Linked DNA regions of Medicago truncatula. The protein of the gene in region 1 interacts with the protein of each later gene in a pairwise test. Links are inferred from orthologs where the notes say so. Each region holds a gene or a part of one and is shown on either strand. Other genes may lie near its edges. The genes, in order: protein ABSCISIC ACID-INSENSITIVE 5 and B3 domain-containing transcription factor ABI3.

The links.
Region 2: the proteins of protein ABSCISIC ACID-INSENSITIVE 5 (region 1) and B3 domain-containing transcription factor ABI3 interact in a two-hybrid assay, tested with the Arabidopsis thaliana proteins (2 studies listed by BioGRID). The link is inferred for Medicago truncatula from reciprocal best matches to the Arabidopsis thaliana genes ABI5 and ABI3.

The regions. Positions count from the first base shown.
Region 1 is NC_053048.1:49,351,776-49,367,794, reverse strand, and holds protein ABSCISIC ACID-INSENSITIVE 5, read right to left. Parts: upstream 7,471-16,019; 5' UTR 7,204-7,470; intron 5,361-7,203; 5' UTR 5,334-5,360; coding exon 4,236-5,333; intron 3,952-4,235; coding exon 3,880-3,951; intron 3,782-3,879; coding exon 3,752-3,781; intron 3,627-3,751; coding exon 3,531-3,626; 3' UTR 3,074-3,530; downstream 1-3,073. Other genes in the region: F-box/LRR-repeat protein At1g67190, read left to right, coding at 1-419. UniProt on the Arabidopsis thaliana protein: Participates in ABA-regulated gene expression during seed development and subsequent vegetative stage by acting as the major mediator of ABA repression of growth.
Region 2 is NC_053048.1:27,918,239-27,934,926, reverse strand, and holds B3 domain-containing transcription factor ABI3, read left to right. Parts: upstream 1-9,688; 5' UTR 9,689-10,030; coding exon 10,031-11,866; intron 11,867-12,300; coding exon 12,301-12,393; intron 12,394-12,481; coding exon 12,482-12,582; intron 12,583-12,697; coding exon 12,698-12,750; intron 12,751-12,831; coding exon 12,832-12,908; intron 12,909-13,329; coding exon 13,330-13,488; 3' UTR 13,489-13,794; downstream 13,795-16,688. UniProt on the Arabidopsis thaliana protein: Participates in abscisic acid-regulated gene expression during seed development. Regulates the transcription of SGR1 and SGR2 that are involved in leaf and embryo degreening.

The DNA.
Region 1 (16,019 bases):
ATAATATGATCTCAAAAGCGTCAAAGTTAAAAAAGCTTCGGCTGTGGAGTGTTGTTTTTGACGACGAGGATGAAGTTGTTGATATAGAGACCATTTCTGTTTGTTTTCCTAGATTGACGCACCTTTCCTTAAGTTATGATTTGAAAGATGGAGTGCTTCATTATGGCTTGCAAGGGTTGTCTTTTCTGATGAATGTGGTTGTGTTAGAACTTGGATGGACTACAATCAGTGATCTTTTCTCAGTTTGGGTAGCTGGACTTTTGGAAGGATGTCCTAATCTAAAAAAAATGGTCATTTATGGCTATGTTGCTGAGATCAAAACACATGAAGAGTGTCAAACTTTTACCAAATTCACTGAATTCATGATTCAACTAGGAAGAAAATATAGTCATATAAAGTTTGAGTTTGAATATGAGTAGGAGGTTCAGCCACATGCATTCATTGCCGTCAAAGTATTGGTTTGATCTCATCCGGCGAGACAGACAAGAAGGTACTTTCATGTTCCATGATTTTCTTGTGTCGTTTTCCTCAAGTAGCACAAGCATTGCTCAGGTGTAAAGTAAGAGATTCTTTGTAATGTAGAGATCTCTGTTTTTTTGTTTCGTTGTTGTTGTTGTTGTTTATCTTTAACTTCTACCCCTCGATCTATATTTCGAAATACCAATATAACACCATTGCAACCTAAGGATTTAAATTGGGGTCGCGTTGTGGTCCTAAATATTGTGGAGGATCTTAATCAAACAGTTTGGTTCAACCTTAATTGCATTTGATTTACAATTGTGGAGACATCAAAGTAGCTATGCTAAATATTGTGGATGATCATAGATAGTCAAATAGTTTGATTCGACCTTGCTTCGACATTAATTGCAGTCACTTTACGATTGTGGAGACAAAATTATGATGTTGCAGTCTAAATTGCGGTGTTCGTCATTTTTTAAAATCCTTCCACAATCCTTCATTTTATAGTTTATTCCGTGTCAAAGAAAAAGGGGGGCTGGGGCTTATGAGCTGTTGATATTCACGTTGCTTTTTACTGCTTCACTATACCAATAACATATATGTGATAACCTTTATAATAGAGGAATTTAATGCTAAAAAAGTTTAGGGGGAGGAATGAGGATTGAATCCATTTTAAGTAAATATTGAAGAAAAAGTTCAGTTATGATGAGTTTTGGAGACTCACCCAGGGACAAAAAGAAAGTCTTAAAAGGTTCAAAAAACGCTTATGGAGTATTAACTTACGTTTTATCTATCAATGACGTCCATCGACATTGAAACTTAAACTCACTCGCTATAAGTGTGTATTTGGTTTCTCTTCCAAAGGTGCCAATTAATTGACATGTTTAATTGTTTTGGAGTATAGTTGATTTTGCTTCCAGAATTTATTCTATTTGAAGTTGAAATTTGTAGCATCTGATTCTATAATTGATTTTTACTCATAAATTTGAAGTTCAACTCATTATTACATGAATATATCTAAACACAAATCACTTTATCTTCAATAAACTTAAAATCAGAATCAATTTACAAAATCAATTCACTCGATCAGTTTATCACTCCAGAACCATTTATGCACAAACTAAATTACTAACTAGGTCAATCCTCGTAAGCCAATCCACTGTGACTTGTGAGTCTATTATAGATAGGCTAGTACTGCATTGCACATGTTTGCTGTGTTTATTCCACATTTTCCTTTCCTGGTCTTTTACTCGTGAAAAATGTTTGTGAATACAAAGAGGGGCATGATAACATGTGCATACATATTACACTTGATCTTTACCTGATCTTTACCAAAAGCCGAGAAAGGTATATACCTTAAATAATATGTGCACATGAAATAAGTAAAATATTCATATCGATTTTATGTTATAGAGGAAAAATAAATTTACTTTGGGGTGGCATTTAGGGTGGGTAGGAGGAATTCTTTCCCACCATAGAAAAGTCTCAATTTGCTAGACAGGTGGCAGTTATGCAGGTGGGACTTAAAAAAAAAAAAAATCAATTAATTTATTTTAATGCCTTGGTTTTACACCTCCCGGTTGTCTTATGCTTCTGTTATGCACCCCCATTTATTTGTTTGTTAATTTGACCATTATACCCCTTATTTCCTTTTTTTTTACGTCAGCTCCCTTAATTTCTTTCGTTTCTGTAACATAGAATCATCCACTGTTCTCCCCCAATAAAAGCCTCACAAAGTCATCATGAATGGTAGATCTTGGTTTCATCTTGCACAATCCAGTAGCAAAATGTGTTGTAATTTTATTTCCTAGGTTCAATCATCTCCTCCCCATTTATCTCATATTCTTCGCACCTTTATAAACTTTGGATTTCTTGAAAAGCTCTGCTTAATAGAATGTGATCTGTTTTGATGCAATTGATATTAAGTTGCGATTAATTTTTTGCTTTTGGCTATCTGGTTCCGATTCTGGCATATTGAAGGTTCTGTTTTGTTGCTGTTTTCTTCATTCTTTGGTTTTTTACAGTCCCTGTGGTGTATTGTATTCCTTTATCCCCGTTATTCATTTCTTATGATGATAGTGATTAAAAAAATTGCAGGTCAAAAAGAAAAGAAAGCAGTGATTAATTTTATTTGGAAGCCCAGTAGTGAGCAGTGACTACATAAAAAAGATTGGAAGCCTAGATTCAAATACATGCAACCCAAAATAATTATAACAAAAAAGTATTATTTGTGGGGTTGGAATTTTTGTAATAGGCTTATTTACAAAAAGTTTTCAACAGGTTGCCAGCTATGAGTTTGACTGAATTTGGACCATTCACTTATAATAATACTATATCAATGGTTTAAAGTGACACTTTTTCATGGTAGGAAAGTATTCCTCCTACCCACCCTAAATGCCACCTTACTTTGGACTCTACTATGGTCTATTGTCACTGACCTTGTGCATGCGCTTGTTTTTAGCATTTTACACAAGACACATACACGTTTACATACACCATTGCTTCAAAATGATGAAGATATGGTAGTTTTTTTTTTTTTAAGGCTAAAATAAAGTATATTTTATGAAAAAAGGTATTCATCTTTCCAATGTGAACTCAGTTGCACTAAAACACATTATCCAACATACCATTCATGGCTGGTACTTCATTTTAAAAATAAGAATAATTCTGGCAATTAATTAAGAAAATCATCTCTACTTCAGTTGCATGAATGCCATTCATAGCTGGTACTATATTGTAACTCTAAACAAAAATAATCCACACACATAGCAAGGTAACTTCAAACATTAACTACTATATAATGTACAAATTAGAGTAGCTAGTTATATCATTTGAAAAGAGTCATCCATATTTGATGATTCAATCCTTGCAAACAGTGGAAAAATTTGCTCTCCAACAAAATCCACACCACCATTCCTTTGTTTTTTTTTCCTTTCTTTTTGACTGGTTTTGACTTTAGTATATTCTTCTTGGTTCTTGATCTGCATCATGTGCACTTTTCTCAGTTTTAACTACACAAGAAGATGCACTTATGCATCAAGGATTTCACTCTCTACCATGTGATGTTTTCTTCACAGATGACAACTTGTATTCCTTCTTAAGCCTCTCAGTTTCTCTTTTGCTTTCTGAGCTTTCGTTTGAACTCTCACGTTTGTTTCCTCTGAACACTGCATGAGATAATCATAAGACAGTAATTTAGATTTGATTTCAATCCATTTGATTCAAAATAAAAGGAGTTTTAATGTCTCTAAATTTTCTATGGCTAATTATAGTTTAGACCATCATTGGTTACCTGTTGTCTTCTTCTCCTCTCGAGTTCAGCCTGAAGAATAAAAGAAGCATGATCCTTGTCAGTATAATTGAATCACTAAAGAAAAACTATCAAATATTCTTATAATAGTTCATGTTGTTTGGCAGTACCAGTGCCTGTTTCAGTTGAGAATTCTCTTCTCTTAATTGATTCAGTTCTGCTTCTAATTCAACTGTATAGGCCTGCAAAAGCAACAAAGAAAAATGTGTCACAAAGGAGTCACATTAACAATATAATGGCAAATATTAAACTAGATTAAACATACTATTTCTAATTTGGATGTAAAGAGTTGATAAAAAATTGACATATTACCAATTCTTCTTAAACTAATGTTACCTTCAATAGCATATAAATATAATGCTGTATTATCTTGATCATATATACATAAGAATTTCAAATAATTCATACATTTGTGGATACATAATTTTAGATTAAGTATAATATGATTGGTTAAAATTTCAGGAACCTGTTTTCTGGCTCTAGATCTTGCTGCTGACTCTCTATTCTTGATCATCCTCCTCTGCCTTCTCTCCACCACCCTTTCAACAGGACCATCAACCATCCTCTTTCTTCCTCGTAAACCATTCATATCAATCCCAAATTGACCACCCGAGTTTTCGTTTCCAATCCCATCCGATGAAACCGGACTAACAGGTCCGCCCATTCCCATAGTTTGTGCCACTGCCACGCCATAACCGCCCGCTGCTCCATTCACCACTCTCCCTCCGTAACAAATAGCTGGCGGCGGCGGAGGATACCCCGTACCTATACTATCTCTCGTCTTACCATTCCCAACATACCCTGAACTCGAAGGTTCTCCAACTGCTCCACCTCCCTGTGCCACCGTTTGGTACGGTGGCGCAACAACGTTTAGATTCCCGCCGCCGCCAATAGCAAATGAAGCAGCCTGAGCCATTGTAGAGTTGTTGTTCGGATACACTGCGGCGTAATGCTGCTGCTGCGGCCGGTGAGATGACACTGCTGCTGCGGTAGGTGGTGGTGCTATGGCAACCGGCATACCAGACTGTTGTTCCCTAACTACCCCTGCTTTAACCAAGAAATCCTCCAATGTCATCTCGCCAAAAGTCGGCTGTCGAGGGGTAGACTCGGTATTCTGAGCAACATTGTTGATGTTGTGATGGTTCTGTTGTTCTTTGTGTATCTCAGACCAAACTTGTTCCACAGTTTTCCTGCAGAGAGGAGCAGGAATCGATAACGAATTTTGGCGAGGAAGACTTGCCTGTTTGCTAATCCCTTTCTGAGCTGCAGACAAGTTATTGTTGTTGCTGTTATTATTGTTGGATGCAGCTTGTTGTTGGTTTTCTTCTGCATTCCAAATACTACTTAGAAACTCATCCATGTTCATGGATCCGAAATTCTTGCCGCTATCACAGAGGCTGTGTTGGAACTCGTCGAGGGTGAGTGAGTATATGGATGAAGATTGCCTTCCGAGCGATGAAGAAATGACATTGTTGACGTCATTCCTGATCGCTTCTTCTCCTTCCCTTTGCAATGATTCTACCTCCCCTTGTTGCCAATTCATCTCACCTTCTCTTACCACCATATTCTTCTGCTTGTCTTATTTTCAGCACTGCACCAGACATTATATTTGTCAACACTCGTAACAAAAAAGCACATTAACAACATAATTATTAGATTAATAATACAATGTAATATGAAAAGACTTTTTAAAACACATCAATAATTTGTGAATGCAAGAATTCAAATCAATGCAAAGTTGATCAAACAAAAAACTTTGTTAACGACAAATAAGTCAACATAAGCTTTTTGTTAACAAAGAACCTTAACAAATGTTAGATTCCTTTGTCTCTTTCAAAAAAAAAAGTTAGATGCCTTTGTCAACGCATGAAAAAATGGACTGCTTCATGACAATAATACTACAATACAGCCAATTTGCTTATGTCATGTATTTAATAAGAACTTATAATATGCTGAGAAATTGTTGAGGGTGTATTGAGTAATGTTGAAATTGTAAATTTTAATTTCTTTTTTGGGGATGATTTATTTATTTTTTATAACTAAAAGACATCAAAATTAGAGCAAGTCTCAAGGTTGAAAGAGCGTTCATAGAAAATACTTATAAATTGTCCACCAACAAAATTCTTACACAATAAAAATTGAACTCACGCCCTTATAAAGTCAACAAAATTCTTACATTGACAATAAAAAAAATTGAACTCGCGCCCTTTAGAAAGTCTGAGCCAACTATTTACCAACTTGACCAACTTTTGTTGGCCATGAGGACCAATACGAATTTAAAATAATTTTATAAAGTGTATAAATAAATAGTTTTTTTTATGAGTTTTAAATATGTAAAATTATTTTGGGGTGGGGCTACACCTATGTCACACTCAATTCATTTTCCTTTTTATATAAAAAAAAAAAAAAAAAAAACAGTGTCAATAAGTTGGATTATTTTTTTCTCCCCTCCAACTCCCTCTATTATTTGGGTGCATTTCAAGATGCCTCTAATTCTAATTTAGATTATTTAATATTATCCAAACATGATCAATTGTTGGTCTTGATTCTCGAGTTCACTGAATTTCACATAGAAAATCCAATATTTGATCAGAACCAGCTCAAAAGTAAGCAGAAACTGCACCACCATCGCTCTATCAATGGAATAATTGAATATCGAAGCAACTACTACTTTTATTATTCGGTACAAAAAGAATGCTTCAGTGCAAAGAAAACTTCACACTTCAGATCTATTTATGACAACATATTATTTTAAAAAACGTAATTTACTTGGGATAATGTTAAATTTTATCAAATTAAATAATTTTTTCTGCTAAAAATGTTTTTTATTTTATTTTATATAATTATAGGTTGACAATTCTTAGGCACATAAAGTTGATTTACTCTTCCAACTAATTTTTCTATACTCTTCATTAAGTAGAAGAACTATCAAATTCAAAAGCACTTGATCCTATAGCTACCTTATAACTTGAATTTTATTCTAGAGAATAAAAAGATTCTTTATTCACATGCATTAAAAGTACAAGGGTTGTTTTTGGATGATCGGTTGAAAAACTATAATAAATTAAGTTGTGAGGAATATTTGGTGGGTGTAGAAAAGGATTGATGTTTGTACACAAAAGGAAAAGAATGTTGCCTCATTTGGAAATGATTTGGTGGCCAAATGAAGGAAGAGATAGAATAAATTAATCTATAATAACAAAATAGCATATTTAACTATCTACCAAATAAAATAAAATAAAAGCATATTCTCTAAACTACAAAACTCAAAAACTCAAATGCTTGCACTAATTAACGTTCAAAATTATAGGTAATCCAATGAAATCAAACCAAAAACGTTCACAAAGTTTCCATGCATATAACAAAATATAGAGAAATAGTATATTGATGAGATCATTATTTCCTTTGAATCAAACTTTTGGAGAGAAATATACCTGGAAATGCAAGTTGTAATGTTAAGCTCCTTTTGTCTCAATGTCAAAAGTTTTAGAGCTTACTTAAGAAGATAGTGAGGCTGAATAGTGAGCAAAGAGTGTGCTAAAATTATATAAAAGATTTTCCACAAACGAAAGACCTGCATATATAAGGATCGATTAGCTAAAAATTTAGTAACTATCTTCGTCCATTTCGTCTAAGGGTACCCCACAAAATAAGGCATAGAAATGAATAAAAAGAATGGATGAAAGGCCGCAATAGACAGAAGAAAATTCAGAGGGCAAGTTCCCGAGTTAAATCGCATGATTTGCCACGTATAGGGCAAGTGTCGTCTCTACAAACCTGTTTGGTTGCAGACATATTTTTAGCACAACACGTATCATCTCTATATTTTTATTTTCTAAATAAATAAAAATAGTACTGTTATGTATTATTTGGACCCTATATTTTATTTTTGGTTTTCGATGTAATCCTTTTTGAAACACTTTAAACTCTATATTTTATTACATGTTATATTTTTGTTAAAAAAGATACAACAAAACTATCTCGGAGAGGAAAAATGTTTCACTTCATTTTATCAATAATAAAATATTGAATACATCTATCCCCATGAGCTTAGCTCATTTGGTAAGGAATAATGCACAATATGTGCAGGGGACGGGGTTCGAATCCCGGACACCCCACTTAAAATAGTTAATGATTGTGTACTTCGTTAGTCAAAAAAGTTTCAGACATTAAAATATTGGCTTAAACTCACTTTTTGCCCCCTAAGTTTGCAAAAGTTGCAATTTTGGCCTCCTATTAAAAAAAATGGCAAAAACAACCCCCCATGTTTTCCCTCTTTTGCAAAACGTCGATTTTGACCGAGTCAACCATATGTGGCATGCCACTTGGGTATTTTTTTTATTTTTTATTTTTTATTTTTTTTAATCCATAAATTCCACATGTATAATTAAAGAAATAAAAAAAATAAAAAATTAAAATTAAGAAGAGAGGGCACGTGAGTGAATGAACATAACACCATTGTTGTTTCTTTTGTCCATAATGCTGGAAAGAATGCATTTTGCAAAACAAATTCTCCCACTTCTTTCTTCCTCTTCCTTCTTTCCTAACCAAAACTTGCAAATTATTAAAATTATCAACATTGAGGAGCAATCCATGAAAAAATGTAGCAGTTCATCATCGGCAACTGTCATAAGAAGCGTAGCTTCTGGAAAACAAACTGAAAACAATAGATTTAAATTCCGGCGCGGTGGTGATGTTTTCCGGTGTGGTGGTCGTCGGAAAAATGTCATCCAAGCATAATTTTTTGTGGGTTTTGTAGGGAATACGAAGGAGAGTACTTTTATTGTGGTAATTTATCGAAAAACGTTTTGTGGTGGTCTAGATCTAACAATGAAGGTGGTGGTTTGAAAACTCAAAATATCTCCAATCCAAAAATAAACTTATGATGAGATAGAGAAGGAAGGGTGAATAAATATTATGTATTTTGTTTGACAAAGGATGGTTGGAAGCACCACGTTGGGTGGCTGGAAAGAGTGGCCGGAAAAAGGGAAGAGGGAGGCGGCAATTAGGAAAGAAGGAAGAGGAAGAAAGAATTGGGAGGAAAAGAAAGAAGAGAGAGCATAGAGACTCTCTCACTCACGTGCCTCTCCATTTTTTTTCTTTTTTGATTTTTTTTAATTCAAAAGATACACGCGTGGCAATTTTAATATTTTTTAATTAAAAATTTACACATGTGGCATGCCACATATGGTTGACTCGGTCAAAATTGGCATTTTGCAAAAGGGGGAAAACATGGGGGGTAGCTTTTGCCATTTTTTTTAATAGGGTGCCAAAATTGCAACTTTTGCAAACTTAGGGGGTAAAAAGTGAGTTTAAGCCTAAAATATTGTGTTAATTTTGATACATATACTTACTTATTGTCATATCAATCCTTATAAATACTTATTTATTTATTTTTATCATTTTCGTCTATATATGAAAAAAGTTATTATGAGTATTGAGCGATTATTTTAGCATTAAAGTCTATTTCGATTAACAAAATACATCATAAGAAACTATTTAAAATTTTGATACATTAAAAGACTATTATGACTACTCTTTATACATTTAGGAACTAAAATAAATATTATCCAAAATATAATGATAGCACTGCGGATGAGTTCGCTGCTCCAATTAAGGTTTGAGCGACCATATTTATTTTCTGTCTAAAGAAGTCAATATAAGAGATTTTAAAATTATACAAAATTATGTTTGTGGTCCTTAAGTTTGACCTTATTTCAAATTGATATTTCAAAAAGAAATTCTTCTTAAACTGATCATTTCTATTACATTTTGTTTATGTTGTTAGCTTTTAAGTTATGTTTATCTTTTATTATTGGCCTAATTTTTGTTATATTTTGTGATTATTTGATTGATAATTTTTATTTCATAATTAGAGATGAACAACAATCAAATGTTCATTTTTCACACGTTATATTAGAGATGAATTACTCATTATTTTGAGTTTATAAGGATTTCAGATTTAGAAGTTTAGATTTAAAGAATAAGAAATAAACGGATAAAAGAAGATGGATACTTTTGTTTAAAAAAAAAATGACATGGTTAGAAGTCTAAAACGAACATTGAAATAATCACACATGAATTTGATGATAGGAAGCAAACAACCATATCGTTTCTAGATAAGCAGAGTGCATATATAGCACTTACTCATGGGTGGCCTTGAGGGTGGGCGAAAGGGGCGGCAGCCCGTGCACCATTATTTTAGAGGCATTAAATTTTTTAATTTTAGTTAGTATTTTTTTTTTTTGGTGGTCGAGATTCGAACCCCGGACCTTGCATGTATTATGCATTGTCCTTATCAACTGAGCTAAATTCACGAGGACATTTTAGTTAATAGTTAGTATTATATAGATATATTTCTTTTTAATTCGGTTTAATTAATTATAGTGAAAATATATTTTTAAAAAACTTTGATTATAAATGAATCTTTTGCAACAAAAAATGTAAGAAAAAAACTATTAAAATGATTAAAAAGACATAATTTTATTATTTCGTCCAAAGCATAAAAAATTTAAGGACCGGCCGCCCTGCACTTACTGTGAGGCAAACTGGTCTATATCTATTTGTTAAAGGGTTAATTAAGTTTTTGGTCCCTATAAATATCTGCAGTTTTGTTTTTAGTCCCTACAAAATTTTCCGTTAGTATTTTTAGTCCCTATTAAATTAAAATTTGTTTAATTATGCTTAAAATTTTAAATTTTTTAACGATTTTTTACATACTTGTTTAAAACATTATAAAAGGTTCCGCCACAATAATTTAGCTCAAAAATTTTATTTTTAGGTCCAAATTTTTCTTAGTTTTATATTAAATTTTTGGCGTTTTAAAAAAAAATTATATTTTATCGATTACATGTTAAATAATTCTAATTTTTTATAAAAGAGATTATTATAATGTTCTTAACATTTTTGTTAAAAATCATTTAAAAATATTAAAGGTTAAGTATAATTAAACAAATTTCAGTTTAACATGGACCACCATATACTTTTAGTCATTGTAAAATTAAAATTTGCTTAATTGTGCTTAAACTTTTAAATTTGTAACATATTTTTCACATACTTACTTAGAATATTATACAAAGTTCCTCCGCAAAAAAGTCACTTAAAATTTTATTATTAGGTCCAATTTTCATTAATATAATCTTGAAAATTTTCCTTTTAGAAAAATTCATATTTAGTTCATTACATGTTAAAAAAAGTAAAAAAAATTTACAAAAAAGTGTCTTAAGATGTTATAAACATGTACGTAAAAAATCTTTCAAAAATTAAGAAGTTTAAGCATAATTAAACAAATTTTAATTTAACAGGGACTAAAAACACTAACAGAAAATTTTGTAGGACTAAAAAGTGTAATTTATTTTTATAGGGACTAAAAACAAAACTGCATATGTTTATAAGGACCAAAAACTTAATTAACCTTAGTTAAATAATCTTGAGCTCACTAATACTGCTGAATCAAAAAAGTAATGTATTAAATAAGATAGGATCTCTAATATGCATTACAAGCTAGGCATGTTGGATATCCACATTCTATCTTGAGGGAGGTGTTACAACTTGTTAGCTGTTAGTTACTAGTATATTAATTCTGTTAGTTAATTAGTTATATTTGACGTTGTGTCTGTCTTTATTTTGTTCATTATTCAATCACAACAAGCTTCTTCTTTTTCTACGATAAATTACAACATGCTTATGCTTAGCTTGTGATACTTTCATATCTTTATTTCCTTTTTTAGTTTTAAGGTAACAGTCTTGATTTTTCATATCATTCATCATATACATATACATATAATATGCATGTAAATGTACTAAGACAGAAGTTCAAAAGAATACATTGGGATTTCTGCCTAGGCCCATTAATTAGTATTCAAGCATATGATTGATCGGTGTATTAATCAAAAGTTCAAACCAATATAATATACAGTTATATAACTTTTACATATTTAACGGAAACGTCGAACTAATTCTACTCTAATCCTCAATAGTTATATAAATCTATTTCTTAACTTTATGGCATGATGTGGGACTTCTTTCCGTTCTATTGGGTCTAGTTGGAACCAAATCAAATCGCCTCCTCCATGTAAACGTGCTCCTGAATGACTTTTATCGGTATGAAACTAGTTGTCCCTTAATATATTGCATTCGATTAAACATATGTTTGGATATATGGCCAAACTTTTAAATTTCAAGTTTCGAGACAAATTTTGTGGTGAAAAAATCAAAGCTACAAAATGTAGTTTATATTAAACCCATATCCTCGTGGTTCCTTTTTGGACTGGATCATCTCAAGTGACTGAGGAGTTTAGTGAAATCATGACCATTGAAAAAATAAAACATAGACAATTAAATGCAAAATTAGAAGAGATAAAGTGTTTAATAGTAAGTATTAGGGTTGACACTGCAGTAAACCGTAGAGATTTTCACTGCGGGGAATGCATTCCCGTTCCTTCCACCGCACAAACAAATATGTAATAAATAGGGACAAACTCGTGAGAAAAATCACAATTCAATATTTATTTTTCCAACTTATGTATAGGCATTTGCTTTGTGCTTCTGACTTAATAATTAGAAGAATCATTTTCTTATCTTACTCCAAATAGCTTGTGAATATAATAAAAAATATATTAGAAAATAGTTTTATGGTTTAGTTTCATTTTGGGCCTAGTCCTTTTCTTTCTTTCTTTTTTCTTTTTTGACTTGGCCTAGTGCTTCTTTTTTTTTTAACAACCTAGTCCCTTCTTTTATTATTTTTGATAAAAAGAAAGACAAAAGAATATTCGCTTGCTATTTTTTTTTTCTTGAATAGCATTTTTTTGTTGAGGCAAGCATTCGCTTGTTAATTGGCATCAATGACTTTTGCTTATGTTAAAACTTAAAACAGAAAAAAGGAACTAAAAAAAGCTAAACATGGGCAGCTTCTAGCATTTTCATCAAAAAGATATTGAAACTTTAGCCAAAAATAAAGAGGAATGTAAGTACATTATCTAAATTTAGACAAATAGATGTCAACTTATACCAAAATCAGCTGATGATTAAGGGTTCGATTAATTCCATCAAATTTTAGAATCACGTCCCACATATTGCACATAAAATAACTTCCAATTCAACTAAAAAATAACACATTTCATGTGTTTCCAAATGTTAAAATTATAAATTATAAATGGAAAAATGCTAACGGATTTTCTCGTAAAAAACAATTACGGGGTTATTTGTTTAACTAATAGATTATTATCTTCTTAATAACGTATAAGTAAAAATAAAAAATATTCATGAATTTTTTAATTTTGAAAAAATAGTAAAAATTAGGCATTAATCCATTTTTGTCCATAAAACTATATATGTTTTCTTGTTATTTTTTTTAAAGAATGTTTTCTTGTTTTACTTCTTAGAAAAAAATATTGATTGCGATCCCTGATTTTCTTACACTTGTTATTTTGCTTTAATTATTGTAATATTTTATCCATGCTTTTGTCGTGATAATAAGTCGAATATCTTTTTTTTAGACTTGTAGCTAGAAATTTACTACTTAAAAGTGAATAAATGAGGTCCGGAGTTTGAACCCCGTCCCGACCCCGACATATTATAAGAAAAATATGTTAGTATTTTTTACGTTAAAAAAATTATTAACAGTTTGGTTACCTCTTAGAAGATAATTTAATAAAATTATTTTTATTTTACATAGACTGATAGTTCAATATGATGACAAAATATTTAAGAACAAAAATAAAATAGTGTGCTACGGGGATTATCAAGGACTGAGGAGTATAGAATTCAATTCTTGTCGCTCAAATTCTCCATTCTCCTAAGTCCTAACATAGTTAATGGCCCTTGGCCTACCTCTAACTGGTTCTCAGATGGTGTGGTGAAAGTGGTCGAGATGGGTAATTGAGTTTATTTTGGTTAGATGTTTGGGTAAGAAATTTAGGTTTTGGGGAAGAGGTGGATTTGAATGCTCTCTTGGAGGAGACCTCTTTTGGGATCAACTTTTGTTGGAAAAATTGATGAAGCTTGGTGGTGTAACCTTGACTCCTGAGGGAGAAAGGTGGTCTTGGGTGAACGACTCTTCCAATCATTCATATGTTCGTTATACCTATGAACTTTTGATAGATAGGAATCTTTGGGTGTGTTTGATTTGTTCAAAAATTAAGGATATGACATGGTAACTCAATCTGTAGAGAGTTTGAGTTATAAAATAGTTTTAGAGATAGGATAAATTGGAGGCAAATGACAGGACAAAAACATAAATTCTAGTTCTTCACCAAACCACATCACAACTTTTTGTCTCACATACAAATTGTCTTAAATATCAAAATAACATTTTATCCACCAAAAATTATTCACATTCATACAAATCAAATTTGTCTTGTGTTATTCTACTTAATTTGTGCTTTGCTGTTCTGTCCAATATTTACTTTCATTTTCTCTAATAAATAGGTGAACGATGAGCAAGATGGATTAAATTAAATTTTTTCCTATTGGAAGTGATTTTTAGCTAAATCTGAGCGGTCTTCGTTTACTTTGTACAAGATGATAACTAATTCGTTGAGGTAATTGTGAGGATTCTTTCTTTCTCTCTTGAACCCGATTTTCGGTGCCTGTTGTATTTTGATTTTGTTTTCATTTGCACCGTTTTATTGTAATTTTCTCTATTTCTACCCTTTACCTTGTACTATTAGATTAGAGTACCATTTTGCTCGGTTTGCATATATTTCATATGCATGCACACACGCAACTCCCTTTCTCAACAAAAGAATACAAAAGGAACATAAAAGCATACTCCTTCCATAACTCATAGTAACTGTTGTAGTATGACTTAAAATTTGATGAATGAAGAATATTGTTGCTAAAAATATAAAAGATTTGTTTTAAATATATTTTGTGCTGAAAATATATTTATGGACAATAAGTATATTTTTGTACCGTATGAAGAACGATTTGATGCAAATATATTTTGAAAGGGAATATTATATTTTTGATGCAAATATTCTTTCATTGAAGGAGAAAGAAAAAAAAAAACGTATCTTTAGTGTGGTATTCGTTCCAAATTTATGAGTTATACTTTTACTATAAATATAGACTTTGTATCAGACTAAACTTTGAGATAGAGGGGGCTGAAACAAGGGTTTAGAATGACAACAACAAAACTAAGGTTTGTATAGAGTTTGTCTCTTAGGAACAAACACTAGGGTTTGAGGGTTGATTCACCTTGGGAAACACTATTAGGATTGAGTCTCTTGGTTACACGGGAAGAGATTGAGACTTTGGGTAGAATTAGGCGGGAGACTTATTCTTGTAACCCATTGATATCTCTTTTGTAAAGTTACTCATTATATAGTGAAACGGAGGGCTATTCTCTCCCCCAGATTAGGTCAATTTGGACCGAACTGGGTCAACAAATTCTTTTGTGTTCTCTCTTTCTCTCTCGCTGTTTTCTACTTTTGGCTTGTGTTTATAATTGTTCCATACACTTTGTTTTGGTTGCTTGATTATCCATTGCTCCACACATCAAGTTTATTATTGGCGTGATTTCTCATCGAATTCGCAACAGTAACATTTTATTTTATGCAAAGGAATGAGGAGCAGAATGGTTTATAGTAAAAGGAGAGCTCCACCTTCTTGTTTTGTTACCAATCTTGGAACTTGGTTTGAATCTTAGTTTTATTCTGAAATGACATAAGTATGTATTTAGTCTTGAACATTTGTGGTGGGGTGGAATTCCTTTAATTTATGCGCCCTGTTCCTCAAGATATTCTTCCAACAAAATTAAAATAAAGACACTATGAAGGAAAGAAAGAAGAATCACACCACATAAACAAGGAATTGAATTTTGAGTTTATGCAATTAAGGAAGGTTCTCCACGCAAGTCATTCAACAAAAATGTCTCCATGTCCATGGTACTAAACATTTTTCCTTATATGCTAAAGAACATTGTAAATGTGGTACGTTCAAGAAACAAAAGCATTTCCTGGAATTTTTACCTTTTATAATATACTTTTTTTAGTAGTATAGTTTAATATTGTTACCAAAAAAGAAAATTAGCACTATAGTTTAAAACGCCAGAGGCTGACAACTTGCAAAGGATGGAGCCCACACAAAGCTTTATCTGACCTGTTTGAGTGAGCTGAGAAGAAAAATGGCTTTTATTGGTCGACACATTCATTTGATCAGGTTTACAGCCAATCAAGAACTGATTCCAAGTGACCCGTCATGGGCATCAATTCAGTGTTAATTGGCACAGTAACAATTAAATGTAACA
Region 2 (16,688 bases), about 21 Mb from region 1:
GTTCTGCTGTTTTCTATTGTCCTTGTTATTTTTTGCTGTCATGGCCTGTTGTTGGTGTATCGTTCCCTTGCCCTTTTAGGTATTGCTTGTGTCGGGGCCTGTTGTTGGTGTGTTGTTTAGGCTGGCGCGGTCTGAAGGCCTTCTGCAGCTGCTGGTATGTTGTTAAAAAAAAAAACTATGACTCTGTGAAGGTTTAAATGCATAAACTCTCACCTCAATTTTCTTTATTATTTTGATTTTGTCACTAAAACTTGTGGGTGTTTGAGATGTTTGAATTGTTCAGTTAATGTTAATTTCTTGTTTCACTTTTTTGTTTTCTAGAGGCTTTGATAACATGTTAATTGACATTTAAGGGTCAAGCAACATTTAAGAGTTTCCCTGATAGCTCGGTATGGTGGTGATCGCTTTTTGCTTGACACGCTAAAGACCATGTATCCTTCAAGCGTTTCTTAAGCTTGGCAGTTATCTCCAAGCTGAGGCAGATTGTACAAAAGCAATAAGTCTTGACAAAAAGAGTATGAAGGCGTACTTCCATACAGGTACAATTAGAGAGATGCTGGGCTACTACAAAGAAGCAATTGATGATTTTAAATATACCCCTGTACTTGAGCCAACCAACAAAAGGGCTGCTTGAGCTGCTGAAAGATTGAGGAATCTAATACTCAAGAAGAGTTGAAGGATTTGCAAGGATTTTGAGTTAGGAGGGAGATCAAGATCAAATTTTCCTATATTATGATAATTACTTTATTATGTTAGTTTTTAGATTGTACGAATATTATTGATATATTCATGGTTTTGTACGAAAATGATTTATGGATTGTACGAATATTATGATGATATATGTCAGTTTAATTAATTTTTGTCTTATTAAATTAAAACTTTATTTCATTAATTTATTTGTGTTTAATAAATTTTATTTCTTTAATTAAAATTAAAAAGTGGAAAGGAATAAAAAAAAAAGTGAGAAGTACATTATTGGCTGAAATTTCCGTCAGTAATGCAGTTCAATATAAATATTACTGGCGGAATAATCCCTCAGTAATGCTTTGTCAAAACTACCTCTCCATTACTGAGGGAAAATTCCGCCAGTAACATTACTGACGCTCATATTACTGAGGGATTCATATTCGCCAGTAATATGTACTACTGAGGGATTTTTGGCGTTACTGAGGGATTATTTCCGCCAGTAAAAACCAGATTTCTTGTAGTGCGCCTCCTTCTTCCAAGGACAATTTATTCCAAATTAATGAAAATGGAGAGGAATGTATTGAATTAAAGAGATATATTTGTATCCATATGATTATAAAAAAAACATTCGTTATCTTCTTCACAGCAACCAATTCATTCAGATTAATTTCTCAATTTCCAAAACAATTAAATCAATAACTCAGGTAATTGAAAAAATAGTTAATTATCCATGAAAACAATAGTTAATTAAAATACTCTTATTACGTTTTATTGTTTTATGATGTTGAAAAAATGAAAAACCTTTAAATTGAGATGCTGACAGATGTATAACCAAAACCTTTAATTTGAGGTGCTGCCAATTGCATAAAATAAAAAATCAAGAATTATCTTTGTTGGAGATATATAGAAATAATTTTGTTATTGAGATTATAGAAGAAGGATCAATAACCCGTAGAACTAGTTTGCTTAACGGAGAGATGAGGCTTTAGGGAAGAAGGTGAATGAGATTGATGAGAGAGAATAAAATAAATAGTCTTAAAAATGAGATATAAAATACTGAATGCCCACATTAAAATTTTGATGAATAATTATTGACCTTTAGATTAAGAGAAATTAACGCTTAAGATTTGGTGTCAACGAATCCTGTCTCATATATATATATATATATATATATATATATATATATGTTATTTTAGTTTATTAGTTATTCAACAACTTAATTTAGGTGTAAAGAATTTAAGAAAAAATTTAAGACCCTTTATTTTTGAAATAATTATTCCCTTAGTTTTAGTTGTTTTAATTATTCTTATTTAGTATATTTGATCAATTTGCTATGACTATATAATAGAATAACCTTCTACCTCTTTATATAACTTATTTTATTTTATTTTAGACAAATATACTAGTTAGATTTCTACTTAAGTGTTAATAGCACACTTTTTTTTTGCACATGTTTCATTTTATCATCCTTGTAACCACATCTTCTATTATTTTGTATTGTACGTGGTTATTTTTGTGCTGTCAATGCCTATTTTTACTCAAGTATATATTCTACTTATTTGACCATGAGTGTCCCCTTTTGTTGCTGAGTCAAAACACTACTCTCTTGTTAGTCACGTTGCTGTTGTTTACTTATTAGTATGCCTTCCTAAAGATAAGGAATCCACCTCCCATGGTTCAACTACCTCCTATAGTTATGCTATGAGTGGCTCAATTAAAATAAACTTAGTTTTCTTTTCTTTATTTTTCTGATTTTTGTTCAAGAGGGGCGGTTTTTCATATATCTAGCTATAATAATTTTCCTAGGGATAACATACAATTAGGAAGAGACCAATAACGTTTCCTACTATCTGCTACACAAACCACAAATACACACTTATCTCTCTAAAAGATCCTTATGATTCCAAACATTATTTATTCTTTATTTCTATTTAAAACCAAGACACCAATTTTCTTATTGTCACACGCCTTTGTCTTCTTCTGTGACAATTACACTAAATAAACCCATCCATTAACCCTGCCTTAATCAAAACAAACTTGTTCTCTTGGTAACTTCTTGTGAGCCACATTTCTCCCTACCATCTTCACAAGTCTACAAACATATTCTCCTACTCTTTACTCGGCCTACACATTTCATCCGAATTTTTTGTGTCCATTAATCCAATCATAACATTTCATCTTGTCTAATTTTGTGTAAGTTATTTTAAACATGTCCTTTTATTTTATTCTCTTCTCACTTTACTAAATTATTTCCAAATCATAAGCCTTTTTCTTTTTCCATAAGAGGTGGCCGTAGAATTTCAATTACTCCTTCGTTCACCATTCGTTCGGGCTAATTCTGGGAGTAAAAGAAATTGTGTCTGCATCGTAGCTGCAAGTTTGAGGCGGCTTAGAGTCGTGATTTAGAAAGAAAAATGCATGAGGTACGAACTTTTTTCCCATACGTCCATACTAAGTACTAGGATGATGTTATGAATTAGAGGTAGAGATTCTTGTCGGTTGAAAAGAAGACAAAAAAACTAAAATATGAATTTATATGGTAAAATTTAACCTTTTATAAAAGTTATTAGTTTAATTATATTTTATATGATGTGTGCATAAAATGTTATGTAGAATGACATTTATTTTATTTTGATATGCATATATGTTTTTTTTGTGGTATTGGGAAAGAAGTGTTGGATTTTGTTGATAAACTAAAGAAATGAAAATATAGTAATATGAGTTTTATGAAAATATTTCATTTTGGTTCATGTGGATGATGATGTGTTAATATCTGATTGTGTTTGCTTATGAGGTTGCCTTAGTGGCGGGTATTTTATTTGACTATGCATTTGCCTTAGTGGTGGGTTAATAATATATTTCTGTGTGGTGCCTTAGTGGCGGGAGAATATCATATTGCATTGTTGTGCCTAAGTGGCTGGATTTAGTCTTCATTGTTCATGATCATGCATTAGCATATGCATCTGTGTGGTGCCTGTGTGGCGAGTTATTTCTGTGTGGTGCCTGTGTGGCGGGTTATTTCCGGATCATGTAGAATCTAAAAGCATGCAATTTACACATAATTGCATTGCATTGGGTCTGTTATACATTTGTGTGTTGATAAGTGATTAAACTATTATAAAGCAAAAGAAATTGTGTGAACCTTATTTAAAGCATATAACTTGAATGTATTTTCCTTATTTCTTTTTAATTGAGAAGTTTTGATATATACTATCTATTTTATGACATTGTTTCTTGTGCTTTGAGTATGAACCAATTTGGATAAGGAAATTGACCCTTACACTAACATTTTAGGTACCAAAGAAGACATGTGTATGCTTTGGTGTTTTGCTTGAAGCGCGTGCGGGGAAGAAATTGGGTTTTAATTGAATTCTAATTTTAGTAATAATTTTGAAGGATATTTAGTTTGAGAAGTTTAATTAAATTATGTTAAGAATTTTGTATAGATTTTGCTAAGAATTATTATTAATGATAAAAAAAAAAAAAAATGGTAGTAATTTTCGAAAATGAGAATGATTTAGGCGTAATGTCTTGGATCAAAATCTGGGGCGTTACACATGTGTATCAACCTCTGATTAATCCTAAAAGTAACTAAAGGTCTTCGATGCGGTGATTGAACCATCAGTCAACACTGAGGCGATTACTTCTGCAAAAGAAGCTTCACTAAAGTTCGATATTGCTCAAAGCCTAAGTCAATGTGATTATTTGTTGTCACATTCTGTTAAGCCAACGAGTCATGACATCTTTAACACTATGATCAACTTGCTTGGGTCTAGGGCCTTTGATTTGGTCCACGATGATACATTCTTTGTTCGGTAAATTCTAAGATTTGATATTGTCTATTTTGGTCTTATTTTCATAGTAGTTTTCTGATTTTGTGTTCGGTAAAAGTCCTTGATTTCTTGACTAATCTTTGGTGGTTTTTGGTTTTGTTGGGTTTTGGCCTAGTCTATCCATGTGTATATCAGGTTCAGGTCCTTCATGACTTTGATTTTCTTGGGCCTCTATTAAACAAAAATTATGGGTCCATTTTAGTGCATATCCTCTAGACCAACTCTGATACATCGTAAACTTGTAACTTAATACAACTTCCATCCTTTAGCAATGCATCATTGAACATTTTCACGACCTTCCATACAAACCAGCACTAGCAAGCATAAATTGTTCCTAAAACTTAAATTAACATTAAAAATAAAGGTTTCTAAAACAACAAAAGACTTAGTGTATATTAAGGATAAAGTAGGTTTTGCTTTCACTCAAAGATCACATATAATGGGAGATATATGAATGTAATAAATGGTATATCATCCGCTTATCATGTACTTAATTTGGCGTTCTTAAACCATCAAGGGTTATGGGCTCACCGAAGACATTAGGGAGAAGTAACCGTTGAAGAGAGTTAGTGACCAAGATGTGGACTTGGCTATTTTGTTCACTATCTTAAAATCAAGTAATCAGTCACATTGGCTTCGTAGTTTGTAGTTACCAACAATTTGAAAAAGAAAATCTAACATGACCTAGTCGCTTTCTCTTTCTTTTATGGAATTCAAACCAACCAATTTGCCAAGTTCAAAATTCTTCTTTATATATATTTCTCCTAACATAATCTTAGTAGTCAAGTTTAAACAAGAAAATCCAGGTGGAGATAAACTTTTATAAATATTACTACATGCCGACACACTAGTACAAATGATAGATTTTGTCATCAATGAGTTTTTGTCTTTTTTTTGTTAATATAAAAAGGATAACAATGTTTATATTTTATAACTTAAAGATTAAATCAGAAGAAAAAAAAAAAGATAAGTGAGAAAAGTGTTATTGAAATTAAGTTAAGGGACAAATTATGTATTTTTGCTTTTTTTAGTAACCATCCAAGTGTTGTATAATATTTTAAAAATTTCAACGCTAAAGTTAAAATCGTGAGTTTATTTAATCGTGAATCTTTTGTAATCAATGATGTTTTTAATTTTGTCTTGGATATGATAGTTTTTTTTTTAAGAATTGTCAAGTACTGTTGATACGTTTTTGTTAGATAAATGAATTGATAAAATTCATTGGAAACTCATACATATAAGTGTAGAATTTGAAGTTCAAACCTCGATCACAACGTTTGACCTAGCAATTTGAAGAAAAAAAAAGCAATGAGATAAAATTTGGTAAAAAGAAGAAGAATGCATAGCGAACAAAAGTAAAGAGCATAAAACTAATTTGTGCTAATAGTGCATCACCATGAAACTAGGACAAAACTTGTGAAAAAGATGTAATCAATTATAACTTGCCAACAAAAAAAAAAATTGCATACCACTTTTGATTTTAAAATAATCAAATATGATACAATAGTGGAAGAATTGGAATTTAATCTTAATCGAATTAATACTATTTTTTTTTCTTCCTAAAGAGCAATCTTTTAGAGAGCTTTGAGATCTCTTATTATCTTGTACATTGCTCCATAGTGGAAGGGATAAATGAAATTGGATGGTTGTTGATTCCTCAAATGTGTTCTCAGTTAAATCGTTGTATATGGTCCTATGTGGTAAAATTCTTCCTCCTACCACTTTGAACACGACAAATAGGAGGGGGTTGAGAGGAATTCATACTGATTTTTTCCCACAAAAGATATAAAAAATTTCATGGCAATTAATTTTAAGGAGGCTTTCTACTCGCGGTAACTTAACTAAGATAAGGGTGTTGTTTGAATGAGAAGCATAGACTTGTGTGTTGTGCCCGCAGATCCTTGTGATAGTAGCATTGAATTGTAATCAATGATGTTTTTTGGTTTTACATGGACTAAAACTAAAATGAAGTAAATTTGCAGGGATCAAAACCATATTTTAGTCTGTTTTAATTTTGTTTTGGATATGATATAATTTTTTTTAAGAATTGTCAAGTATTGTTGACACTTTTTTTTGGATATGATATATATTTTTTTAAGAATTGTCAAGTATTGTTGACATTTTCTACGGTAGATAAACAAACCGATAATAGTCATTAGATATTCACACATATAAGTGTAGAATTTAAGGTTCAAACTTCGATCACGATATTCAACATAACAATTTCAGAATTTATTTATCTATTGAGTTAGGATTTGTCGATAAATATTGGTGATATTTAATTGAATCGTTCTTTCCACTAAATGATGTTTGATTATCATTTTTTGGTTTGGTTCATTTTATGGATGTGGTTTTTAGGCGCGTGAACTCCGCGCGTATGTTTCGGTCTCAGTATATTTGTTGATGTTTTTATTGATGAATTTGAAGGTATTCAGTTTTTCTTTTCTTTTTGACTTATCTTTTTTGTATTGTTGATATATTCTTGATATGTCTTGTGTTTTAAATAATTTTACTATGATGTTTTTTAGGCAAAGAATTAGAGTGCGAAAAATCACATGATAATAAAGAAATCTCAATTATCTTGGCACTAAAAAATCATACTTGTAAAAAAAATTAATAAAAACAAATTGGGGTCTTGGGTCAAAACTCAAATAGACAACAAGGGTGCATAAAAATATAATTTTATGCCTCGTTAAAAATCTTTAAGAAAAATAAATGAGATAAAACTTGATGAAGATAAGAAGAATGCAAAGCAAACAAAAGTAAAGAGCGTAAAATTGATTTGTGCTAATAATGTATCACCATGAAACTATGATAAAACTTGTGAGTGACGAAGATGTAATCAATCAATTACAGTTTGCCAACACACAAAAAAAATTGCATAGCTCTTTTGATTTTAAAATACTCAAATATGATATGATAAATTGAAGAGTTGTAATTAAATCTTAATGGAATTAAGAATTTTTTTTTGGCGTGAAGAGCAATCTTATAGAGGGCTTTGAGATCTCTTATTTTGCACATTGCTCCATATTAGTAGGGATAAATGAAATTGGGTGGTTGAATCTCAAATGTGTTCTCCATTAAATTGTTGTATGTGACCTATGTGGTAAAATTCTTCCTCCTACCGCTTTAAACATGACATATATGAGTCGGTTGAGAGGAATTCAGACTAGTTTTGCACCACAAAAGATACAAAAAAAAAATCTTAACAATTAATTTTAAGTATATGCTTTCTACTTGTGGTAACTTAACTAAGATAGGAGTGTTTTAAAATGAGTAACATCGACTTGTGTGGTGTCCGCGAATCCTAGTGTCGATACCCAAGTGATCATAGCTAAATATATGACAAGTTGAAATCGATCTATCAATCTGAACATAACAAACACACAAAAAAAACTCAGATTAAGCGGTAAAGTTTTAGAACTCGAGAGTTTACCTCAACTCATTTTCTTTAAGTAAACTCGACTCGAGAACTCGTATGAGTTTAGCTAAAATTAAAATTATGTAGAATTTATTATATGCATGACATATATAAGCTAATATAATATTGTAAATACGTCGATAGTGCAAAATATGACTTAATTACAAAGACAAGTTATACCAAACTACCATAATAAAACGTTATACTCAACTTAGCATCAAAATACAAAAATTAACGCACAAAATCATAAGTTTCATAAGTCTCTAAGTTTAAGTCATTCATAAAACTATCCAAAAAAGCAAGTTTCACAAGTTCCTAAAGTTGTTAATAAAACTATCTAAAAAAATAAACTAGTTAATTTTTTCAAAAGGTCAACAAACACCACCACTGCAATCCTAACCGGCGTCGAAATCTGAATTTCCATCGTCGGAATCACAACCCTAACTAGTATGTGCTTCCCTGTTCATGGTTTGAGGACTTAGAGAAGAAAGAAAAAGAAACGTTTCATCTCGGGAACAACGTGTTACTGTAAAGTTAACTATTCAGTAAACGCTTCAGTCTTTGTGCTTGTAGGATTGAAATTGGGTTTGGAAAAAATGGCCCAAAAAAAAAAGATCGATTTTTTGGTTAGATGTAAACTCGTAAATTTCGGTCGAGTTTACACGAGTTTACCGAGTGTTAACTCGATCAAACTCATCAAACCTTCTAATTTTACCAAAATTCGAGTTTACCTTCAAGTTAACACGATTTTGATATCTAAAAGTGTAAACTCGATAAACTCAAAGAGTTAACACTCAATTGCGGAACATTTCTAGGCTGCATTAAGTTGACAAAATTACACAAAAAAGAAAAATCTAATATGTTAATAACACATATTTAGATAAAAGAAAAACACATGCAAATGGATAATTCCAAATAAAAAAATGTGACAGTTGTAACAAATGATAGAAATAATACTTTTTTGGTAGAAACAAGTAAGACATTAATTTATTTAACAAAAAGAATACAAAATGAAAACATTAATCAAAGGTCACCTAAAAATTAAATTTTTCTTTGTGGAGCAGAAGACCTTACTTTCTAATAAAGACTGTGGCACCGTTTAGTACCACCACTGAGAATGTAACGAATGTCTATAGCACAAATTCCGGAGTAACCTCATTTGACAAAACTAGCGGCAAGAAATTTTGTTTTTTGATTCCAAAACCAAAACTACCTTTTCTCTCAAAAAACCACTTATTCTCTCTCTCTTACATAACCTTTTGTTTTTGTGTGTGTGTGAAACTACCTAAAAACCATTTTGAACTTATCTAAGAAAGAGAAAATAAAATCAATTAACAAAAGCAAAACAATTATGTAACTTCCTAGAACAAACCAGAATACACACATGGGTGGGTTTTTTTTTTCTCCAAAAAAGACTAAGTTTTCAATCAGTTTAAGCATGTGGGTTTTCTTTCTCTGAAAAATTTGATTGGTTTTCTGGGTTTGTGAACAAAGAATCTTAATCTTTTCTTTCTGCTTCACTCTGTTATTTGCTCTTTCTAAAGTTTTGATTTTAGTCCTTTCAATTTCTTCATCCAAGTTCTTTGTGTTCCTTTCAAAACCCTAGGTTGTTTGTGTATGATTGTTTATTTAGGATGATAATGACCCAAATGAGAATAAAAAATCAATAAAAAACCCACTTTTTGGAATAGTGAAAGTCGCTTTCTTTGAAGGTAAGAGAGGTTTTCATTATTAAATATATATTATATATATTATCCAAGTTGTTGATAATGATATCCTCTCTCTTGGTAAGTGTTTTTGTTGAGAATCAGATGTTTTCTGTTGCATAATCCATTCATAAGATTTGAAAGAATCTTATCTTCTTTTGCTTCCTTAAACAGATCTTTTCCTTTTGTACTTGACAAGTACATAAACAAAATTATCCATTTTTTTCTCTCTTTGTACTTTCTCTCTCCTCAAACAGTACCATATTTCTTGCACCATATCTGAAAAAAATTACACCAGAAGAATACTTGAACAAAAGGGTAATCAAACTTCAAAGTTTTTCAAGTTTGAGAGAAGTTTTTTAAAGATAAAGTTAGATCTTGTTATGGAGTGTGGTTTAGATCTGCATGCAAAGTTGGTGAATGAAACAGAACAAGTTGGTTTTGGAAATTTAGCAGAAGAAAATTGGCTTAATAATACTACAAATGATCAAGATGGTGATCTTTTAGGTATGAATATGAATGATGATGCATCTATGTTCTATGCTGATTTTCCTCCTTTACCTGATTTTCCATGCATGTCATCATCATCCTCATCTTCATCATCTTCAACACCATTGAAAACCATTGCATGTACTTCAACTACAACAACTACTACCTCTTCTTCTTCCTCAGCTTCTTCTTCATCTGCAGCTTCTTGGGCTGTTTTGAAATCAGATGTTGAAGTAGATCATCAAGGTTATCAAAAACATGGTCATCCATTAGATTATCATCATGGTCATCCTCCAACAACTTTGTCATCAACTGCTTCTATGGAGATTTCTCAACAACAGCAACAAGATCTTGGTGTTTCTAACAATGATGTTGTTGTTGGTGGTGGTGATTGCATGGATGATGTTAACATTATGGATACTTTTGGTTACATGGAGCTTTTAGAAGCTAATGAATTTTTTGACCCTGCTTCGATTTTTCAAAATGAAGATGAAAACCCTTTAGTGGATTTCACTCAAGAGCAACAAGTTCAAGTGCAAGACGGATATCAACAACATCAACAAGTTCCGATGATAGTGCATGATGATCGGGAAAATAAACCGCAACAAGTGAATATCGAGGAGAATAACGACGATGTTTTTGTGTGTGACGGTGTAAATGGGGAAGAGAGTATTCAAGGAGATGAATTAGGTGCATGTGATGGTGTAAGTGATGAAATGAGTATGGTTTTCTTGGAGTGGCTTAAATCGAACAAAGACAGTGTCTCCGCGAATGATTTGAGGAATGTGAAGCTTAAGAAATCAACGATTGAAAGTGCTGCTAGGAGATTAGGTGGTGGAAAAGAAGGGATGAAACAATTGTTGAAGCTCATTCTTGAATGGGTTCAAACTAGTCATCTTCATAACAAAAGACTCAAAGAAAACGCCAACACGAACACAATAATACCTTCAAATATTGTTCCTCAACAACATCATTTTCAAGATCCGTGTCAGAACCAAAACACAGCAAACACATTTGCACCTGAATCGAACGCATGTTTCAACCAAACATCATGGCTAGATCAAACACCTCTCATTGTACCTCCACAACAATTTTCACAACCAATGGTTGGAGTTGGAGTTGGATTTGTTGCTGATCCTTACACAAATGGTTCTGTTTCAAATAACATTAACCCTTACCAACCTGCTGTTACTAATGAATATCACATGTTGGAATCAAATCATTCATGGGGTGCTTCTCAATTCAATGTTGCACCAAACTACAATCAATCATTTGTGGAAAATAACAACAATGTGCTACAACCTCATGGTATGAATTTTGGAGGTTATGGAAATCAATATAATTCTTATCAGTTGTTTCCTGGTCCTGGTGATAGGTTGATGAGGTTAGGTCCTTCTGCTACAAAAGAAGCTAGAAAGAAGAGGATGGCTCGGCAACGGCGGTTTATGTCTCATCATAGGCATCATAATATTAACCATCATCAGAATATTCAAGGTTCTGATCCACTTGCGAGATTAGGTAGTGGTGATAGTTGCACCAATGTTGCTGCTGGTGGTTCTCATGCAAATCCAGCGAACTGGATGTATTGGCAGACTATGACCGGTGGGACAGCAGCCTCCTTGGCACCTGTTGTTCCGGCTGAGCCGACGCAGCCTCCAGTGGACCGTGACCGCCCCACCATGCAGACACAGAGTTCTCACCAGGGTCGAAGTGCATCCGATAGGAGACAGGTTTGTGGACTTCAGCTTTATATTATTGTTAGATTATATGTTTTGGTTGTTTATATGATCTACGATGTGTGATTATTAGAAATGCATGTAAATGCAAAATCATTTGTTATTGAACTTGAATAAGTTTTAAATTATGGTCAACAACCGTAATTGTGGCTGCAATATAATGGTTTTAAAGGTCTCTGCAACGGCGTAGCAACCACAGTTGTGGTGGTATTTATCCATTTGTCTGCAGATACCGCAATATAATGGTTTGCAACATTATTGTAGCTTATGCAGATATCGCAATACAATGGTTTGCAACATTACTATAACTTCAACTAACAGCCATTATCCGATCACTCAATTATAACTGTCAAATTATAAAAAATGTGCGACTTTAAACACAACTATCTTGCTTTATGAATAATGTGTTTGATGTATTTGATTGATAGGGTTGGAAGCCAGAAAAGAACTTGAGGTTCCTTCTACAAAAGGTTTTGAAGCAAAGTGATGTCGGAAGTCTGGGGAGAATTGTTTTGCCAAAAGTAATTATTGATTTTCTATTTTTCAATTATTCATTACATTTTATGAGAAAATAAAATATTGATTCATAGTTTATTGCAAAAACATCAGAAAGAGGCAGAAACACATTTGCCAGAATTGGAGGCAAGAGATGGAATTTCGATTACAATGGAAGACATTGGAACTTCTCGAGTTTGGAATATGCGTTATAGGTAAGCAAATTTTCATGGACAAATTTAACTTCATCATTTTGTTTTTTATGTTTATAAATTATGATGATGATACATTGGGACTAAAATTTTATCTTTTGATTATTTCTTCTTGGAGCATCAGATATTGGCCTAACAACAAAAGCAGGATGTATTTGCTGGAGAACACCGGTGAGTTATTCTTCTTATTCATCTTTGGTGCTTTGTTTGTTTTTGTTTATTTTTCATAATGTATTCATTTTCATTTTGTAGGTGATTTTGTGAAAGCTAATGGACTCCAAGAAGGAGATTTCATAGTGATATATTCTGATGTGAAGTGTGGCAAATTTGTAAGAGCCTTCTCTTATAATGTTTTCTTTTACTTAATGTTCATGGATTTGGATTTCCTAGTTCCCGGCGTAATTGAATCGAGATCAAACCAAAGTTTTAAAAAACCAGACTAAACTCATCCCGTTCAACTCATTGAATTGTGAATCCTCGGGTTAAACCGTGGTTGGTTCAAACCGATTTTCATATTTTACATTCTTTTTAATATTCTTCACATTTTTTTATTTAACATTTTTCATCTCGTTCAACCGCTGTTGAATCATTTGAACCAATTAACCATGCTCGAGGTCTCACCAAAACTCGAGTCGTTTGTTCTCAATCCAACCGTCTAAAATACAACAGTAAACTTTATTATGAGATATATTTTTCTTTTAAAATTAAAAAGTTGAGAATTAATTGGTGGGAATATAATTTGTGATACAGATGATAAGGGGAGTTAAAGTGAGGCAACAAGGAACAAAACCAGAGGCAAAAAAAGCAGGAAAATCACAGAAAAACCAGCATGGGAATAATGCTGCAAATTTAGCTGGAACTGCAGTGGATAATAATGGCACGCCATCTTCACCAAAGAGAAAAAAATGAAAAAGATATCAATTAATTAATATATATGTAAGATATAGTAAGATGCATAATAATATATATTTAAATATAGTAGAGTAGAGTCAATAAAAGAGACTTTGAGCTGAACATGCAAAGCTTATAAGGATCTGTAGTATTATTTGTTTGGAATTCATTTGCAAATTGTTGTGTGAAAATGATGTATGTGGATATGTGTATTTAAACTTTGTAAGGGTTGTACTTGAGCTGTCTCCATTTGTAACTTTGATTTTGAAGTTCATAGAAAATCATGGTGCAGATGAAACAATAAAGAATATTTTCGTGTATTGATCTTGAGATTTTTTTATATATAAAATTGTTAACAAATTGCATATTTTATTAATTTGTCGAGAGAAAAATCTTATAATTTATTTTTGAGTAATTCTGTAGGCAATTGTAAAAGATACCTTACAATAGATGTAAGAATTTTATATATATTAGTGGACACTTCCGATCATTTTATTGGGTTAATGTGTATAAATTATGAATATTAGTTTTTATATAAACAAATCACACATCTTTTTTCAATAAAGTAATCTGTAAAAAATTCATATCCAAAAAAATTTATAACAAAATGATGAAATTTTAAAATGACATTTTAAGATAAGTTAAATAAGTTTATATTCGAACAAAATTTTTATTTGAAACCCTTTCTAAAAAATTATAGTAAAAAACTATAAAAATCTATTTTTAAAAAACTATTAAAAAACAAGTCCTATGTACTAATTAAATTAAGAAGATCAAACACTCTAAATTTCTAAAAATGTTATTCTAAATATTTCATCATAACATTATAATTTTATTTGAATCATAAATTTTTTAAAAATCTTTAAAATGGTTCCTTTTTCTTCCATTTTCCGTTTACACATAAATTGTCATTTGCAATATTATAGAAAAAGCATAAAATAAAAGCACCAGTTGAATAAATTGTGTCGTGAATTTGAATAAAATCGCACCAATGCTATGCTGAGTGTAGGAAAAATTGTAGCAACCAATCACCAAAGTGAATTAATGAACATCACTTACTAAGTTCGATTCAATTTGACCTATACATATGTGGAAAATAGCAGTTCTTCAATTTATTATCAACGAGTTTCATATAAATAGATACATAAATTTAAGAGAAATTAGGCTTCAAAAACCTTAATTCATTAAAATAAAACTCAATATCCAGCCTAAGGACCGACTAATCTGAATTGTATGATCTCATAATTCCCTTGCGAGGACAACATTTAAAGCCATCAAAATTGACATAGGGAGAAATCAAACACGAGACCTTAAGAAGTGCATACTCCAAGGTTCCAAACCAACACCATTAGGCTAACCCTATTGAGGTTCTACCATTTTCTGGCCTTCCCTTGAACAAATGACACTATGATTTCATTCATCAAGGTGTTCATAATGCTTCCCAACCCTAGACTATAATCCAAAAGTACTCAATTCTCAGCTTTTGATCTTCTTAAAATTCTCTCTTTTGATCAACTCTAGTTTGACTCACTTTCATCTCTCTCTAAGACCGGAGAAACACCTCATATATAAGCATTTCAAACTTGGCGAACAAGAAAGCTGAAGCAGTCTATTGTTGTGAATTGTTCCTCTTATTGTCGTTGATTGTTCTTATTTGAATGAGATTTAACTAATTTTTAATTGATAAATGAAAAATTGTTTAAATGAATGGGTAAAAGTGAAAAGAAAAAATTCAACCTAAAAAGTGTATTACCTTTATATATCGATACGAAGATGAAAAAAATAATAAAATTGTTTAAATGTAAGGGTAAAATTAAAAAGCAAAAGTTTAATCTAAAAAGATGTATTTTAGTATTTCATTTAATATTTGTTTATTTTTTTGTCCACTTAATATTTGTTGTAATACCGCAAAAAAGACAATCATAAGTTGAAGAAGGTTGCATGTAGCAAGAAATAATAATGATAAACAGATAGAAAAGTCATATTTTTTAATAGAAAAAAATTAGGATATCAAAAAGGTGTATAACGTGTACGTGACGTAAAGAAGTAGAGTATTGTTGGATTGTTGATGTCGACAAGGTAATGAAGGAGCCGTATATGTAAGTACAATCCTCAGTCATACATATACTATTTGACTTCGTCTATTTTATTTATATAACAAACAAGGGAATGGAAGGGAAGATCAATATCATCCATTACGTTTCCCACATCATTTTATCTATAACTATAGTCTATATATCAAAAGAATATGAGATAATTTGGACTATATTTTTAAATAATTTTTATGTTTTATCCACATGATCAAATTTCTATTCTTCCTTTCTACACACTAAATTTTCTGCTTATGAAGATTGACTTTGCTTCTTTAACAATAAAAAACCATCCTAGGTTATAGTTATTTCTTTCAGCATGTTGAAATAAGATAACATATTACTTTTGTTACTCTAAATACTTTATACCGTATGATAAAAGCGATAAAAAAAAATGTGTCTTATAGGTACTTCTTACATCTTATAGTTCAATTCCTCTTCATTCAATACATCATTTTCCTTATTCTCTTTTGAAGATTTATGGTCTTCCACCTCTTGTTTAGCCTACAGACAAGAAAAAATCTTTTCATAAACAGAAAGGATCATAAACAACATATAAATAAAACATATATGTGTATGCCACACCTTTTTTTTTCTTCTGTTTTTTCTTCTTGGACTTCTTTTGAGATGATTGCTTAAACTCATAGGTATTAGAGTTTTGTCTACACAGTCTATTGGATACCAAAATTCAACAATCACATGAATACTTACGATAAAGAAACAGAAAACGGCAAATCATTAAGTAAATCGTATATTGTACCTGAATAGATCATCGATGACATATAATTGAAACACCGCACAACCCATCTTTCTCAGACGCATTTCATCATCATTTAGAATATGTGTATCGAACTCCTCTCTTATCATTATAGGTTTGTACTTTAAATGAGAAGCGTTCTTAAGTACGATCAGGGTATTAGTATTTAAAAAAATAACTTTATTAGTATTTAAAAAAATACTTACGATCAACATATAAACAAAAGAAGATGAATCTATCTGAATAGACTCAAATGAAATAGTTGGTATTAGTATTAGTAATTCTTTTATATAAAAAAATAACTTTATTTAAAAACCTACCCGGAAAATGTGTTCGATCAGGGTGACGGGGGTGAATTGTCGCGATTGTCA